Oryzias latipes: one gene and its partners. The protein of the gene in region 3 interacts with the protein of the main gene of each other region in a pairwise test. Links are inferred from orthologs where the notes say so. Each region holds a gene or a part of one and is shown on either strand. Other genes may lie near its edges. The genes, in order: pfdn1, traf3ip1 and immt.

What was found.
Region 1: the proteins of immt (region 3) and pfdn1 interact in a two-hybrid assay, tested with the Homo sapiens proteins (2 studies listed by BioGRID and IntAct). The link is inferred for Oryzias latipes from reciprocal best matches to the Homo sapiens genes IMMT and PFDN1.
Region 2: the proteins of immt (region 3) and traf3ip1 interact in a two-hybrid assay, tested with the Homo sapiens proteins (2 studies listed by BioGRID and IntAct). The link is inferred for Oryzias latipes from reciprocal best matches to the Homo sapiens genes IMMT and TRAF3IP1.

The regions. Positions count from the first base shown.
Region 1 is NC_019872.2:23,089,990-23,094,167, reverse strand, and holds pfdn1 (prefoldin subunit 1), read right to left. Parts: upstream 2,817-4,178; 5' UTR 2,751-2,816; coding exon 2,652-2,750; intron 1,947-2,651; coding exon 1,780-1,946; intron 353-1,779; coding exon 268-352; intron 186-267; coding exon 102-185; 3' UTR 49-101; downstream 1-48. UniProt on the Homo sapiens protein: Binds specifically to cytosolic chaperonin (c-CPN) and transfers target proteins to it. Binds to nascent polypeptide chain and promotes folding in an environment in which there are many competing pathways for nonnative proteins.
Region 2 is NC_019879.2:26,421,953-26,425,602, forward strand, and holds part of traf3ip1 (TRAF3-interacting protein 1), read right to left. Parts: intron 2,096-3,650; coding exon 1,934-2,095; intron 1,449-1,933; coding exon 1,290-1,448; intron 1,185-1,289; coding exon 819-1,184; intron 735-818; coding exon 657-734; intron 554-656; coding exon 533-553; intron 1-532.
Region 3 is NC_019868.2:4,710,525-4,714,174, forward strand, and holds part of immt (MICOS complex subunit MIC60), read left to right. Parts: intron 1-753; coding exon 754-846; intron 847-1,032; coding exon 1,033-1,188; intron 1,189-1,335; coding exon 1,336-1,469; intron 1,470-2,111; coding exon 2,112-2,218; intron 2,219-2,466; coding exon 2,467-2,602; intron 2,603-3,650. UniProt on the Homo sapiens protein: Component of the MICOS complex, a large protein complex of the mitochondrial inner membrane that plays crucial roles in the maintenance of crista junctions, inner membrane architecture, and formation of contact sites to the outer membrane.

The DNA of each region.
Region 1 (4,178 bases), on a different chromosome or scaffold from region 3:
AAACCTACATGGTCCTCACAGACCTTTAGGAGACACTTCACACCAACACAGAGGGGTGGGAGGGGCTTTATTGGGATCACGTGGCACAGAAAAAAAACGGATTACGGAGCTCTTCTGGACAGCAGCATCTCTCTGATGTTGTCTTCAGCCTCCTTCACGCTGCGCTCCAAGTACACCTTCTTCTGCTGCAAGAGACCACAAACGGGCAGCAACAGTCAGAAACCCGCAAACATGCACTGCGAGCTGTGATGGAGCAGGCACTCGCACCTCAAGCTCCTTGATCTTCTCGTCCACGGTTTTCTGTTTGTCTGTCAGCAGGTTGTTGATCTTCTCCCTGGACTGAAGAATGAACCTGAAACAACAGTTTTCTGTCATCTATAGGATCGGCAGGGCAGATGAACCTAAAGGCAGCATTCAGACATTAACGTTTCTTTATACCATGGTCCGGGTGAATACTCGATTCTGATTGGCTGCTGGGTGTGCATTAAAGTGATAATCCACGGTGATAATGTACGCCTAAAAAAGAAGTTCCGGGCACATAGCTTAACTGTTCTGTATCACTGCACTGGCTTCTTTAAAACAAACTTCAGCCTCATCATCTGGACTAAAAGAGGTAAACTTTCTCTCTGAACTGATGCTTTATTTAACCCGTGGTGACGATCAGCATATATATTGCTTTCCTTTGCCGCAGCAGTCGAGGTCAGTGGGGCTAAGCAGCGCGTTATGTTACCGTGACACGTAACAAATAGTCGACTTTTTGTGAAGAGAAAAAAAAGAGATTGGAACCATAAAAATGTTAGAATGAAAGGCCTAAAAACTGGTTATATATTTATTTCTTTTGTAAGTAATCATGGTAGCAGCGGATTAACGGCTGTCAAAGTGGGCACAATCAGAAATTAATGCACTTTATGGAAGCAACTGCGGAGGACGGTTGCTTCCACAAAGTGCATTCATTCATTCATTTTCTTCCGTTTGTTCCCTTTCGGAGTCACGGGGCTGCCGGAGCCTATCCCGGCCACTTATGGGTGAAGGCAGAGGACACCCTGGACAGGTCGCCAGTCTGCCGCAGGGTCACAGTCACACACCCATTCACACTCACATTCACACCTATGGACAATTTAGAGTTGCCAATTAACCTATGGAGCATCTTTTTGGACGGTGGGAGGAAGCTGGAGACCCCGGAGAAAACCCATGCATGCACGAGGAGAACATGCAAACTCAATGCAGAAAGGTCCCCCATTGATGTTCTGTTTCAGGTCCCCCAGCCGGGACTTGAACCAGTGGCCTTCTTGCTCCGAGGCAAGAGTGCTATCAGCATTAACGCATAAAGTGCATTAATGCTGATAAAGCACACTTTGTTGGCCATTAACCCTTATGTAGCTCAGTGTTTGTGCAGATCAGTTGCTAAACGCACATCCTCTTCAAACTTGTGTATAAAAGTGTTGACTGGATGTGAAGTTCATAAAGTCAATCAGGTCAGACAGAATTCCTCTGTCTGGAACTCTCATGGAGCCTCAGTAGCATCAATGAGGCCAATCAAAACCTCTCCAAAAAGAAATTTATGTGAATCTGGTGGAGATCTCCTTAAAATAAATGTAAAGTTTTCAAAATAAGAGGCACATGGTTTCACAACTGCAGTAGAACCGTGTGACACTGAGATTTCCAAAGCAGAACCAGACATTTGATGGAAAAACCAGACTGGTTTCATGTTTTTCAGATGTGTCTAACTCATCTGTGTTCTTTGGTGAGTTGGCATTGATTACAGGAGAGCACACTTACATTCGGCCGACGCCCTCGTACAGGCGCGTGTTTTCCGGCAGCGAGGAGATCTCTGTGCTTGTGAGCTTGGCATGTTTCTGAACTCGAGTCAGCTGATCAATCTGGAGGTCGGCCAGCTTCACCTTCTGCTGTGTGTCAATCATCTTCAGCTGTAGCTCGGCGAATGCCTGCAGAGACAGGAAGTATCGCTCTGTTCAAAGTCGAAAAGGAAACCAGGAGAGAATCAGAGTTTCACTATTTCTCCCATCTCTTCCTTTTCTCTGGCTTGATTCAGGAAGTCAAACAGAAAAATGAAACACTGCCTCTCCTGTAAATCAGTTAACAAGCAAAGCGATCTGCTACATGAAGGTAGTCTATGAAGATATAAACCTGGACCATTTAAATGTTTGCATAAAGGAGGTAAAAAAAAAAAACGACATCTGACCTAAAATAATCCACGACACTGAAAGATGGAAAACTGGACTTTAACATTTACAAGCATGTTTGTCATAATCTGGTTTCCTCAAACCCCATCATCTTTTGTCTCAGTGTTAATACCGCAAAGGATTGTGGGATTGGAATATGGTCCACCCGATCAGAAAGGATGCTCGGCCGTTTCAAAGAGATGGGGGGGGGGGGGCAACCTCAAAACTCATTTTGCTCTAAGGGGTTCAAAGATTCGGTGCAGGTACACAATGGTCCGGTTCACATGTTTGTTACTAGTGAAGTGACCGGTCAGCCGAATTTCGTGAACCTTCCGCGTGCACCACTGAATGCGGTATGGGTCACACTAATAACTACCAGCGGTAGCTGCCTGTAACCCAATATCGGAGAGTATGCGCAACCACGTGCGTCAGACATATGATGTGTTCGGCGTCCTGTAAACTACACACCTTTTTTAGTTCCAGGTCCACGGGCGCCGCCATCTTTAGAGTAGATTTCGAGTGCGCATGCGCAAGATTGTCTTCTTCGGGCTTATTTTGTGGCAGCATCAAGTTTGCCCACAGCCCCTCCCAGTAACGATGATCTATTTAAACTCCCCGTGACCTTTTTTTTAAAAAAAATAAAAACGTTCCCAGTGGTGTTTTAGTTACAATTACGACGTTTTTTTTAACTAAAATTCCACAAGCCAAATGTCTTTAAAATGTCATGTTTATCTGAAGCGTGTTTCCAAGAACTCCTCTACATGGGCGTGGCTATTGGTGCTGATTAGCTCCGCCCTCGATTCCCCCTATCTGCAAGCTGCGTCTTGCCTGAGTGAAGACCGATAGACAGTCCCAGAAATTGTAAAAATTGTTGAATACACTTGCATAGCACTATTCACACGTCATTTTCCAAATACTTGTGGCCAGTGCAAAACTTAATTCTTGAACACCCGGACCCAGAGGAAAGGTTAAGTTTAGTGTTATGGTTACATTTAAGGTGCGTTCACACTGAACGAGATTCGTGGCAGAGGTGGCCAGTTAAGGCCCGTACACACCGGGACGAATTTCGCGCGCGATATTCGCCGATGTTTAACGCCTCATGACTAAACAAAGGGCACCAATGTGAGTGTGCACACCGACGTGAAAAAACGCCACGCTTCAAAGCGTCACTTTATAAAAAATGCCTCGGGTTCGTTTTTTTGGTTTGGCGCCACGCGGCAAAAACTATACGACTAATGAGAATGGGGCTTTTGGACACGTGTCTGGAGCTTCTGAAGTTACAGTAAAACACAACTTGGGGGCGCTCAAACACAAAACTGCCTTTCTGAGCACACATACCAGCGAAGAAGATAAGACGCCAAGTGGAATCTACACTGCCGCAAAGAAATAATGACGGACATTCTAAAATATCCCCGAAAACGCTCATGATACATTTTTAGCTCTCGTACCAGTCGATAAAACTCCCCATGTTCTTCTCTTCTCGTAACTATGGGATGTACCCAAAATCTGCGTCTTTTCCAGCGTCTTTCATCGTTTGCTGTGGTGTCATCGGTATAAAGGTATTGTACTGCAAATAATGATCCTGTGTTAATAAAACTTTGACTTGCTTTACGGCAGTTATCAGTCTTTACTCGGTGCAACACATCATTCAACAGAACAATAATTTCTTCATTGCTGGAACTGGAGCTACTGGTGCTGGAAATATTCATGTTTTCTTTGTTTGATTCTGACAAGCGCGTAAATACTTGCTCTCTTCTTCTGAGTGAAAAGCGACTTTAAGAAGCGTAAAGTTGCGCAGCGCCACCTTGTGTACAGGGGTATTTCTGTTTTACATTAAGCGCCATCTAAAGTCAGGGAATGAAATTGCATGTTCGCTTGGCTCATCGTCAGCGAAAATCGCCTGGGTGTGAACAAAAAAAACGTGGCGAAAAACGCTGGCGAATAATGCCTGGTGAATATTCGTCCCGGTGTGTACGGGCCTTTACAATGGCAATG
Region 2 (3,650 bases), on a different chromosome or scaffold from region 3:
TACACCAGGTCGCCATAAGCCCCCCCCCGCTCCACAAAGATGGACAAACAGATCCATAAACGATTTGGTTTCCCTCGTCTGAACTGGCATTTGGCTCAAAACTTTAAGAACTGGAAAGCGCCAATATTCTTCGCCATTTTTGCTTCACCGGTCATTTTTTTGTTAGGAGTGGGTGAAGCTGTAAGGTAGTGGGAGAGCATGTAAATAGAAGGGTGGCGGGCTTATGCGGTTTACGCCAATAATCCCGCCCACAACTCGGGGGTGAATTTCTAATGAGCTGCTGCTCTGCAGACCCTAGAAAGTGACACCAGCATTTTGATTAAGCCTGTAATCATAATTAATTCAGCTCTATTCAATAAGATGTTATTTATATAATATTACAACGCAGGTATCTCAACGTGCTTTTAGGTAGAAAACCTAAAATCAGTTATAAAATACAAAGCTAAATTCACTAGGAAAGCTTTGAAATTAGACCCATAGATGATTGGAGTGGGACTTTTAGAGGCAGAACTGTTTTCTAGGGTTTCATTACCTCTTCATCAGGATTTGGTTCCTTGCAAAAACACGAGTTACAACAATAGAAAAATTCATTTATATTTAATAAATCCTAAAATTGTGCAGATTAGCTTCCTAATTATACTAAATGATAAACTTACCGGTGTCCCCGTTTTGGCTGTTTGACTGTTGATCTCATCAGAACTGGGTTTCTGCTCCGGTTCTTCTGGCTCTCTGGTCTGAACACAAAAGCATCTGTATAATATCTACCATTCTTTGCTACTAATATATAATCAGACATTAAGGGAAGTGAAGTTTTGTACCCTTTTATCCCCACTTTCTGCACGTTTGTTCTGCTCCCCTTTGCCGTTTTGTCGCTCTCTGTCTTTTTCCTTGTGCTTTCCTTTGTCCCGGTCTCTGTGAGAATCTCTGTCTTTGTCTCTTTGCCGATCTCTTGTTCTGTCCTGCTCCTTCTCCTTGTCCCGAGCGCGTCCATTGTGGCGTTCTTGCTCCTGGTCTCGACTCTTTTCTCTTTCTGCTGCGGGCTTTTGGTCGCTGCGATGGCGCCTGTCAGAGTGGTCACGGTCACGCCGGCGCTCCTTCTGCTCGCCCTTGAGCTGCTGATCTTTGGGCTTCACTGTGTCTTTCTCTTCTCGACTGCTGCTGCGCTCGGTTAATCTTTTCTTCCCCTGAAATGGTTGAAGTGAAAAAGAACATAGACAAAAAATACACAGAAAAACAAACAACTGATTAAACAAAAACAAAAAAAGAGGGCATCTGTACTGAGAACTCACATCTCTATCTAGACCATGGCTGCGCTCCTCCCTGTGCCTCTTGTCCTGGGATTTCTCTCGGGATTTGTCCTGGGATTTGTCCTGGGATGTGCCAATCTTGGTTTTTGGGTCCACCTTTCCTCTTGAGAGCACTTGCTTCACTGCTTCATCACTGGATAACTGCAAAAAGATAAAACGAAAATAGAATTCCACTCCTGTGACAAATCAAACCTGAGATGCTTAGCTTTTGTCGAACTGATCTGACTCGCTACTATTTTTCACTCACTTTACAATATTTCTCCACAAGGGAGAAACCTCCAGATCGATAATCACGTTTGTCACATACGTATCTGTAAGTTGTGAGACGTTTTTATGTTGCCAATAACTGTTTCCATATTGTTTAGAGGAAGAAGTCCCAGAGCATCAGTTCATCCGTTTCCTCCCATCTCCAGGGTACAATTAAAGCTTTCCAGGTTTTTCCTGAAGCTAAACAACCATTTCCTACAGAGTGTTGTTAATCTAATGAATGTGAAAAATAGATTTAGGTTTTTGAGTTTTCACACAACAGTTTGGTCTCCGGAGTAACTGAGTTAACATTAAGCAATCATAAAAAATGTCTTTTCTCGTGTTTTTTTTTCTGTGTGTGATCTTTCAGTGACACTGACCTTGTTGAGGCAGCATCTGCCGATGGCCTGCAGCAGCTCGTTGGTTTTCTCCGGTTCGTGCCCAGCAACTATTCGTGCAGGCTTTGCCGTTAACGGCTCGCCACTTACCAACGCCACAACGTCTATGGCTTTCTGGAGGAAAGACATTCTTGCTTCTTTGCCCTGAAAAAAGAAAAGGATCACCAGAAAGGTGAGTACAAAAACATATCTGGAAAAAGAAGGAATTCAAGGGTTCTCCCTTTTTTATTTTTTATTTTTGTAAGCACCACTTTCTAGTTTACCAGTGAATGTTGTGACCATTAAATAACAATTATACATAAGAGGAACCAGCAATTTAAAAATTGCTCCTCTTTGTAAGACGGAAATCAAAAGGCATATTTTAAAAACGTTTACGGAAAACCTTTTTGTTTTGTGAGACGGCAGAAATTCATGCTTCCAAAAACTAATAGGACAAATCTGCAAAAAAGCACAATTAGTTAAAGATTATTCACTCCATCCTTTTAGGTTTTCTAGAAAATGCTAAACTAAAAAGTACTTTCATGTCACCTAACTGTAAGAGCGTCTCTACTTTGCTTTTTTTTGGGTACAATCTGTAATTTAATGCTACATATTCAAGATAGGATCTAAGTAATGGTCCTGCACAAAAGACTCTTAATGGTTGAAATTAAATGAAAAAGAAAATGGGGAAAAAAAACACAAGTGGGTCCAATTTTTGTCTCTTTGATGTGAGGCACCAAATGATGTCCCAGGAGGATACATTACTTCACAAATCACATGAACGGGGATCCATTTTTTCCACTTTTCCTCCAGCCTCACTCTAACATAAATCCACTATTTGAAAAGTTGTAAAATGCAGGTTTGGATGAGAGCTCTCTGTTCACAGAGAAACAGCAACCCTGAAAAATTACAAATGTTTGGTAACAATAATCAGTTCTCATCAATTTAAAAATAAAAAAATGATAAAACAAATAAGTGAAAAATACATTTCTAGATGGTCAGATAAATGATTTCAACGATGCTTGATCTGAAACTTGCTTGAGTGCAGCTTTCTGTTGGTGGAATTTGGCAGAATTCAGGCAAAACTGAAGTGAGTCCCACTTACTAAGGATAAGCACTACTACAGGCTCATGTGCCAACAGCCGACTAGAGTTTTAACACCTCAGAAAACCTTCTCAGAGCCAGAGCCTGTCACCAAAGAGCTTCTCTTTCAGCCTGGGTGTTCTCTTACGCCATGCGCAGACGGCGCAGACTGCGCAGATGGCGCAGACATATTTCAGCTACACAAGGTCGACCTGGTCTTCTGTTACTTTTCAGAACAAAAAGCATTTGTGCAAAATAATAATAATTAGAACAGATTAGTTATTAAATAAGTCAGCAGAACATGAACAAACCAAAAAATGTGCTACACAATGTTACAATTTGTTTATGCTAAAGTTATGTAGAATAGTTAAGTTTAAAATTATCCTTATTGGAATTATTTACTATATGCAAAAATGTACAACATTTACTTTAATACATATATATATTTATTTTAATAATGTATGTTTATATGTAATGTTAAATATATTCGTTTTTATATTTTTTTACTTGAGTAAGATGTTCTATTTATCATCCATGTTTTCCTACAGATATTCCCTTCATTTTATATATAGATATAGAAGTTTATTTTCTTTTAGGGGGACTTTCCGCTCTTTATTTTGTCAAATCTAACCGGCTC
Region 3 (3,650 bases):
TGATTTCTGAAAAAGTCCCGCCCCTTTAACTGTCTCCACCAATCATTCTTGGAGGCTTAATCAAATGTCATCAGTCTGACCAATCAGAAGTGGTTAAACTCTTCACTTCCTTGTTCTGATTCTGCTCCTAAAGTCTCTCAGTTCTAACAAAAATTCCAGCTAAAGCTCGTCTTTAGCGGTGTAGCTTTCCACAGAATCTGGTATCAGACCGTGGAACAGGTGAACAAAACAATGAAGCTCAGAGAAGTGAGTCTGTCTGACATCACTACATCACCCATAATGCATTGGGTTAGAGTGACAGCATCTCAGCGTACAATGAGTCTCTCCTCTTAACGTCTTGAAACCACAACGAACACACATCAAACAGTTTTTAAATCTTCTAACTTAACTTTTATTACATCTTTTAGAAAAAACAGCTGCAGCTTCCAGCTTTTCTGCCACAATCATCACAAAAATGCACGTGTGATTGTGGAGGTGCTGTAGATCAATACAGACTATGAGTTTCTCTTTTTTTGTCATTTTTGGATGCTGGTGTGCTGCAGGATTTTGTCATGGTTAAAGTGTGCCGTGGCTCAAAAAAGGTTGAAAAACAAGGATTTAGAGGACAGAGAAGATCCTAGCCTGTCCTTTCACACACACCATGTTCCACTGAAGGACAGATCCTGAGCTCAGGATGAGTTTGTGTCAGACCTTTAGGTCCTTCTCCACGACCGGTCCACTCCACCTTCATCTTCTCCTTGTCTGTTCCTCCAGGAGCTTCAGCCGAGGCCACCCAGATCATCTCTGCCAGCAGCGACGTCCCTTCAGTCCCGGCGCCGTTTGACACCCAACCCACAGCGGTCACAGGTAAATCACCCAGCAGGAACATGTGTAGAGTAATCAGATTACTGCAGGGCTAGGGGAGTTGTTACTCGTTGATGGTTACCATTAGCAGGGTCACTGTTAGCAGTAAATAGTTGTGGAGGGGGGGCTGACTGCTGCTGTTATCAGTGGTCCACGTGCACGCTCTTCAGCGTGCGCTCTCTTTTTCAGAGCACTGCGACGAGTGTCACCACGTTGGCTCAGAGGCGGCCCACAGCGGCGCCGATTCGCCCGCCGGGTCCACAGAACAGCTGGTGGAGCGTCCGGCCGAGGAGGTGTCGGCCCGTCTGGCCCAACAGGACCAGGATGAGCAGAACGTTTTAGCAGGTTTGACGCGAGAACCTGATTTCTCTGAGGCAGAACCTCAACTGTCTCCTCAGTGTGGGAGGGGTCTTCAGCAGACGCCCGACTTGTGACAGTTTCCAACAGAACCGTGAGGCTCATGCCGGTTGTCTGATGTTTGCCGTTCTCCAGCGGTGTCCAGCAGTCTGGAGGAATCTCTGGCCTGTTCAGCCAGAGCAGCGCTGCAGGCCATCGGAGCCCAGGAGGCGGCGCTGCAGGCCATCAACCAGCACACGCAGAAGCTGAAGGAGGCCATGGAAGCAGAGGTACTGCCATGGCCTCAGCGGCCTGGGGCCTGTGGTCAGTGTCATGGAAGACCACCCAAAAAAAAAAAAGGAGTCCATCGTTACTTGGATAATGGATTCCTGATTCATTTGGGAGATTTCTTGTTTTTTTTTTTGTGAGTTTTTAAATAAGGAAATGAATCATTTTGTTAATGGAAGCTCAGGTTTGTTTATAATAATAAATTAAAAGGATTCTAGAGAGTAATTTAAAATGAAAGCAACTAAATATTTTAGCAGAGACTATTATTTTGCTTTTTAACAGCAAAATTACACACAAAAATGCTCCATAAACATTTCCAATCAAGCTTCCAGCAGCAACATAAAAAAAGAGTAGACAAAAGCTTCTTAGTATAAACTCTGGATTTTAAATTTGTCACGGCTTTTCCAAAGATGACAGAAAATGTCTGTCATCTTTTTTTTATGGAGGGCTGAGAGGAAATTAGCATTTCAAAAATAAAACCTGTCATGATGAGGTTTGATTTTATTCAGATTGAATTACGGTATAGAGGTTTGAAAACGAATGTGGATTATTGATTAACAGAAGGTGCAACAGCAGTGGAACATTCTGGAATGTGATTGGCTCGTTAGAGGGAGGAGTTCAGTGACCTGACACTCTGTTCCCAGCAGAGTCCTCCCGAGGAGAAGTCCGTCCAGTGGAAGGATCTAGAAGCTGCTCTGATGGACCGGACCTCTGCTGTGACGGACGCGACAGCTGCCCTTCAGAAAGCCAAGCAAGTTACCCCCACCCCGAAAACATGTCACCCTGTTGACCTCAGGTCACCTCTGCTGTCTGCTGGTTCCTGAGCTCTTTAGCAGCACTCCTCTGCCGTTCTGGGCCTCAGAACAGCAGAACATCTCCAGCTGTCGGACTGTTTTTACATTCCCCTCGTTTCCTAGCGTGCACTCAGGCGTGTGCACGTGTCCTTCCGCCGCTCACAGAGCGCCGCCGTCCCCTGAAGCTGTGTTTTCGTCCCTGCAGGGAAGCTCTGGATGGTCTGAGGGCCACCATCAACGGCTCCAAAGACCTGAAGGTGGCCGCCGTCCGCCCGCTGGTCCTGGCAGCTGAAGAGAACCTGCATAAGATGGTGGTGGACCTGGACAGAGTCGTGGCTCAGGTTAGCAGCTGCTCTGCTCTCTCTGCCTCTAACCCGGTCTCAGGCTAGAGGACACATTATTACTCAAGGAGGCAGGTAATCAGTATTTGGAGGCGATATTTATTTGCAGTAAAGGTGACAATATTTTACAATTTAGAAGAATACAAACACAAACAATTAGTTTATTTCAAAAAACAAGTACCGGTAAATAAACAACCAAAGACATAGCTCCTCCTAGAAGTGCAGGGAGCAACAGGCTCAGCAGCAATTTTTTAGTTTTGTTTTAAGTGAAATAAAGATTTCCCTGAAAGTTTTTAATAGTAATAAAGTCAAACTTCAGCATAAATTGGAGGATTTATAATTTATGTTAAGTTGAAACAAAAAGTGCACAGTGGCAAATAGGGATGGGTATCGTTAAGGTTGTAACGGTACTACTACTCTTATCGATACTGCTTATCGATCCGGTATTTTAACTACATTCTTATCGATACTTTATGAGGAAGAAAAATAAATAAATATACAAATAACAAATTAAGAACAAAGTGTTTTATTTCCTCATTTTGCAACGACATTGTTTTTTTAACAAAACATTTTACTTTATACATGAGAAAGTTCCAGACAGGATATGTATTTAAGTATTTTTATTCTTTATGAGCGTGATGTTTCCTTTGATCTTTTGTCCATTTTCGACAACCTTGAATGGACTTCTGTCTGTCAAACACCCAGAGTTAAATTAAGTTAAGTGAGATGATGGAAACAAATTCACTTTGATACGGACTCCTTTCTGTTTCTTTATTTTTTTTTAAATCCAGTAAACCCAATAAATTATATAAATTGTATGGAGGAAGAATATCATTAGTTGTTACTTATTATTAAGTTTTAGGAAGCAGCTGTTAGTTTGTTGCGGGTCTGGAACCATAAGCGGTGAGTCTAAGCCCCGCCTTAGACTGATCCGCAGTTAAATCATCAGTAGACCCAATTCACAGCGAATAGAATAGAAGACTTTGTTAATCCCACGATGGGGAAATTCCTTTTGTCAGCGGCAGCACAGAAAAAATCAAACAAAAAT